Linked DNA regions of Saccharomyces cerevisiae S288C. Changing the gene in region 2 together with the main gene of any one other region gives a genetic interaction. Each region holds a gene or a part of one and is shown on either strand. Other genes may lie near its edges.

The links. A genetic interaction does not mean that the proteins touch.
Region 1: of HEM13 (region 2) and HEM3, changing one enhances a phenotype caused by changing the other (phenotypic enhancement), as found in Saccharomyces cerevisiae (one study listed by BioGRID).

Annotation. Positions count from the first base shown.
Region 1 is NC_001136.10:92,228-95,281, reverse strand, and holds HEM3 (hydroxymethylbilane synthase), read left to right. Parts: upstream 1-1,536; coding exon 1,537-2,520; downstream 2,521-3,054. Other genes in the region: RTN2 (Rtn2p), read right to left, coding at 1-677; YDL204W-A (uncharacterized protein), read right to left, coding at 997-1,149; YCX1 (Ycx1p), read right to left, coding at 2,818-3,054. UniProt on the Saccharomyces cerevisiae protein: Catalyzes the tetrapolymerization of the monopyrrole porphobilinogen (PBG) into the hydroxymethylbilane pre-uroporphyrinogen in several discrete steps.
Region 2 is NC_001136.10:544,891-548,155, reverse strand, and holds HEM13 (coproporphyrinogen oxidase), read right to left. Parts: upstream 1,515-3,265; coding exon 528-1,514; downstream 1-527. Other genes in the region: DNA-directed RNA polymerase III core subunit RPC11, read left to right, coding at 1-178.

The sequences.
Region 1 (3,054 bases), 450 kb from region 2:
GTTGAGTAGCTGCCTTCATCGGTTTGGGGTGGGATAATCTTGTCAATGTATGGTTCAGTCTTTTCAACCACCTTGTTGTAATTTTTGTGAAACCTATGAATAACTAGATCCTTCATCCTGTCGATAGCACGGTCAATTCTAGCCTGCTTTCTATCGTAGATTAAAGGCACAGTGTACAAAAAGATGGTGGTCATTATCAAAACAGTGTTCATAGAGAATATAGCAAATAGGCCGTGCAAGAAATAGAGGGAAACACCAATGGTAAAATTGTTTCTTGTTCTGTGTGCAAACACTAACTTTCTGATTCTGTCCTCTAACGCAGGCAGACGATCCAATTCGCGGTCGATATGAGGCTTTAAGACGCCAACAAGGTCCGGAGACTCTTGCATGCCAAACCTAGACACTACTCCTTTATCAAATAGCACCTTTGTAGAAAGCTCCACCGCAAAACTCGTGAACAACACCATGTATCCGATCTTAAGTAAAACAGAAATAACATTGACATTTCTGAGGATCAGCAAACTCACCAGAGTCGCAGCAAAGCTCGCACCCGACTTGCTAGGGTTAGTCCAGTATATCAATCCCGTCTTGTTCTGATGACCTGCTTCACCGGGAGCGTTAGCATTTCTACTGTTATTCAAATTCGCGTTCTTATTGGTAGTCGTATTCCTATTCATGTTGATGATAGTTTGTGGCAAGTTGAGACAAGCAATTGAACAAGTTATTACTACTATTGCTACATAATTGATCTGCTTTTCAATCCCTTTTATATATTTTTTTCATCAAAGTAGCAAGCTTTATCGTTTGAGGGTGGAAATAAGGGTGAACAATAAGGGGAGATTGCCTATGCGCCTAAACGTCACCGTCTAACCTTGTTCTCCTTTCAACAAAAACGCCTTGCGTTCTTATTGCTAGGCCACAATTACAAGCATCTCAAATGGGGCATTATCACACCGGTACCACCGACACATTCTGCTGCTACCCTTGTAGTTTAAGTTAACTTTGCGTCCACTTTTCGTAATTATTTTGCTCCCTGGCAGCACCGGGGGTAAAGATGTCTTTCTGGCTAATGCAGTCATCCTTACATTGTCGTTCGTACGGCAGTCCAGGATTTTTGACCATCTTTACGCAGCAATTCCCATATAACATTCCTTCTCTCCTTGTCAATTGACCCTGGGGAGCGTCTGACCAATAAGAAACCGATGAGTAAGCAATGAAGGTCTTTTTTTTGGCTACGAAAATTTCAGCAATTTTTTAAAGTGAAAAAGTAAAAAAATCAAACATAAAAAAAGAAAGAAAATGAAAAAGTAAAGGAACGCTTTATATAAACGAGGCTACTAACTATCTGTATTATTGCTACACATAGCCTGAATTCAAGGTCATTGGCAGATTGACGCTCGTGTTTGCATGGTACAGGGCTGTATTAGATTTTGAATATTCTGTTCTTCTCATCCCGTATTAATATCTAGAACAATAGAAAAAAAGAAAAGCGAAGAAAATCTAGATAAATTTGTAGTTGGTAAATACACACGTACTATGGGCCCTGAAACTCTACATATTGGTGGGAGAAAATCGAAATTGGCGGTAATACAATCCAACCATGTTTTAAAACTGATCGAAGAAAAGTATCCGGACTACGACTGCAAGGTTTTCACTTTGCAAACTCTTGGTGACCAGATTCAATTCAAACCTTTGTACTCATTTGGCGGTAAAGCTTTATGGACAAAGGAGTTGGAAGACCATCTTTACCATGACGATCCCTCAAAGAAGCTTGACTTGATCGTTCATTCTCTGAAGGACATGCCCACTTTACTACCAGAGGGTTTCGAGCTGGGGGGTATCACTAAGCGGGTCGATCCAACAGATTGTCTTGTCATGCCCTTTTACTCTGCTTATAAGTCTCTGGATGACCTTCCAGACGGGGGGATTGTGGGAACCTCATCCGTGAGAAGATCTGCTCAGCTAAAAAGAAAATACCCACATTTGAAATTTGAAAGTGTCAGAGGAAATATACAAACTAGATTACAAAAACTAGACGACCCAAAATCTCCGTACCAATGCATCATCTTGGCGTCTGCTGGGTTGATGCGTATGGGGTTGGAAAACAGAATTACGCAGCGATTCCATTCGGATACAATGTACCATGCAGTTGGACAAGGCGCCCTGGGTATAGAAATTAGAAAGGGTGACACCAAGATGATGAAGATTCTTGACGAAATTTGCGATCTAAATGCAACTATATGTTGCCTTTCGGAGCGTGCTTTGATGAGAACTTTAGAGGGGGGTTGTTCCGTTCCTATTGGTGTGGAATCTAAATACAATGAAGAGACTAAAAAATTACTATTAAAGGCCATTGTAGTTGACGTTGAAGGCACAGAAGCAGTAGAAGACGAAATTGAAATGCTAATAGAAAATGTTAAAGAAGATTCCATGGCGTGTGGTAAGATACTAGCTGAAAGAATGATTGCCGATGGCGCAAAGAAAATTCTGGATGAAATTAATTTAGACAGAATCAAATGAACACCATTAATTTGATCAGTCCAAAAACTCTATTATTACTAACTAAAGTTCCCTTTTTTTTTTTTTTTTTTTTTTTTTTCCTTATCTCCTTTATCTTTCAGTTATTTATTTCCCTCTCATTCCTCTCATATTACTTGTTTAATTTAATGACCATTTTCAAATGACCACTGCATAAATATTTTGTCAATTAGAATATGTAATTCCTACCTTTGTTTATTTTATACTATTCATACAAGCTTCGTTGTTAATATATTTATTATAGCTTGTATATAAAAAATGAAATCTTGATTTATTAAATTACACTTGGTGAACTTCTAAAAAAACACTAATACATGTGACAACTATATACAACGTAAGAAGTGCAATACTAATCTTCTTGTCAATTTTCCAGTCGTTTAATGGTATCAAAACCGTAAATATCAAAAACGCGATCAGAATTCCGACTCCAGTATTGATTAAGTTTTTATCCACTTTAAAATCAATATGATGCATTAAAATATTACTATCTCTGCCACTCACTATTTTTCCAGTTTT
Region 2 (3,265 bases):
TGATGTTCTTGGTGGTGGTTGGGACAATGTGGATCAAACCAAAACCCAATGTCCCAATTATGATACTTGTGGTGGTGAGAGTGCTTACTTTTTCCAACTACAAATTAGGTCAGCTGATGAGCCGATGACTACCTTTTATAAGTGTGTAAACTGTGGTCATAGATGGAAGGAAAATTAAGAAGTCCTTGAATATAAGATGAATTTTCTAAGAATAAAAAGAGTAATAAAAACATCTTAAAATTTGATTAGAAGGCATGATCGCATATTGAGAATGAAGGCTGCTGCCATATTTTTAGAGCAATAGATACTGATATAATTTTTGATCCTGCACGTACTGTGAACTTGCATCATAAATAGGACGCAATAATTAATATTTTTAAGAATAGAGATCCTGTATCAATTGAATTTGAAGAATTATGTAAAGGAGGTATAATAAATAGATAAAAAAATGTATAAATAAGTGGTCGAAATAATTAAATCATCATTGTCATTGAGATCATAAAATCGGTCTGCTAAAGAACCTTGAATTATTTAACCCACTCTCTTGGTTTGGTGGTAACTTCTAGTAATTTAGCTTCTCTGGAACCAGGAGCAGGGTGGTGGTTGTATAACCATGAAGCATGTTCAGGCAAACTCATCAAAATTGACTCAACTCTAGAGCCTGGGGTTCTCAAACCGAATTGGGTACCTCTATCGTAGATTAAGTTGAATTCAACGTATCTACCACGTCTAATGGCCTGCCATTGTTGTTCTTCCTTTGTATATGGCATATCTTTTCTTCTCTTGACGATAGTCAAGTAGGATGGCAAGAAAGCATCGAAACAGTCTTCAACCATCTTCAATATTTCTTGTGGGTCACGTTCATCATAATCGTCAAAGAATATACCACCAATACCACGTGTTTCCTTACGGTGGGTAATGTAGAAGTACTCATCACACCATTTCTTGAAACGTGGGTACAAAGCAGTGTCGTGCTTGTCCAAGGCATCCTTGTGCAGTTGGTGGAATAATTGACCGTCTTCTTCGTATAAGTAAGAAGGTGTCAAATCAGCACCACCACCAAACCACCAAGTTTGTGGGGTCCCATCTTGGTTCCAAGTTTCGAAGTAACGGTAGTTTAAGTGCGTGGTTGGAGCGTGTGGGTTAACGGGATGAATGACCATACTTAAACCACAAGCGAAGAACTTGACACCGTCGGTAACTGGCAAACCAGTCTTTGGATCTTCTGGTAGACGCAGATTCTTATGATCAGCTTTCATGGCTGAAACGGCCGCTGGGCTCAATTGACCATAAACAACGGAGACATTAACACCACCTTTTTCGAAAGTTGTACCGTCTTGGATAACCATAGAGGTACCACCACCACCATCGTTACCACGGGTCCAAGTATCAGCGTGGAACTTAACAGTATCGATGGATTCCAAACCTTGCGTGATTTCAGCTTGTTTGCGACGGATAAGAGCTTCCATTTGTTGTCTAATTGGAAGATTCCTTGGATCTTGAGGGGCAGGCATCTTTATGTGTATTTAATTGTGTTCGAAGAGTTCGGTTTGCTATGTTTGATTTGCGAAAAGAAAGCTTTTGATATGCTCAAAAAAAGAAAACCCGGAGAATAAAAGCTTAACAAAGAAAGACAATAGGTGGAAAAAAAAAGGAAAATCCGTGTCCTTATATAGCCTTTCGAAACGAGAACAATGGGCAAAGCAAGCTTTATCTTCGGATCGTCCGTCAGCGCTTTGGTTGCAGTCTTATGCTTTGTTCAAGCTGGAGCGTTATTGGTGGGAGAACCAGAAAAGGCGAAAGCGTAGCGTTCTTTGAAATTTGGCTTCTGTTCCTGCGACTCGTTTAAAAGTAGAAGGGCCCGCGGAGCCGCTGTGAAAGATTTCTTTTACTCTTTCAGCGCAGAAATCTCGCAGGAGCTCAGCAGAAAGTGCCTATGACGGTAATCCCAGGGGCTAATGGTGTGAAGGCACTTTCTAAACAATTGAAATTAAAATACCGTGCCTATAGTAACTTTTTTTTACGCTGTGAACCGTTCAACACACAGTAAAAACTCCGCAGGAAATGGTTTGAAGAATCTTAATCACGAATTAGGCGTATTGTTTTTCCCAACAGTGAACGAGAGGACAAACTCCAGAGGATTTGCGGGCTTGATGATAAAATGTATTGTTGAAAAGATCGCGAATGCAACAATTACGGTGGGGAGAAATATCAACAAAAGGGCAAGGCTATGCCTTCTGGAAAGTGGCAGACTTGCACTTTCCTCGAAAAGAAAAATGACCGCAAGATCCGGTTGTTCTCAACCTTCTACATTAAGACATACTTCTACGATTTTCGAATGCCGAAGCAACTATCGCTGAAATTTGTCATGTCAAAATTGCTACTGGGGGAGAAGAATATATATGGAAGTAATTATTATTTACGTTGCTGAAATGGCAGGTTAGACGCATGTTTTGCAAAATAAGTGGTTTTGAAAAGAATTGATACTAGGAATCGGTGCAATACCTTCTACCTTTCTTAATAGGTATTCTTGAATAATCTACCTCACTTTCTGTCCCAGATACGAGATGTCGAGCGCCTCGAAAATAGATATCGTTTATTACGTTAGATACGGAAAGGTCTACGTGTCATAATAAATTGCATCTGGATTGCGATTTTGGGTCATGCCTAACTGGGAAAATATTTACATCTCCATGTTCTCATTCTGCCTTTGCTTTCCTTCAAAACATGGTTTTCAATTCAACCTAGGGTCTACCGCGGAACCATATGTACGCCGTAAATGCGAGTGTTCTTGAAAGGTAGTAATGTGTTCCCTCTCAATATGTAAGTCCTTCAAGAGTATGCACTTGCAGTTGCACTGTTTCGGGTAATTATCCGTCATTAAGAAAAAGATGCTTCCACTTTCTCGTGTTTTTACGCACAATCGTGCCATTTAACCGGAAATAGACTCCATTGCATTGATTGCTCTCATAAAAATTATAGCCCGCGTTTGATACTTGTTTAAAATAGGTGTCGACAAAGTTAGTTTCTGTCTTCCATTTAGTTTTTACAATATGACACGTCAAATAAATCTTTTCGATTTAGTTAAAAGAGTTACCTGGCGATAGCCTTCTGGTAAAACACCTATTCATAAAACAATCTTAAAAAACCAAAAAATTACCAAACAACTATGTAGGACATATTTTTACAGTTCATAAAAACGCTTCGAGCTGCCGATATCGGTATCAAACACCAAAATATACATAGTGCTGGTTTAAGCCAGAAT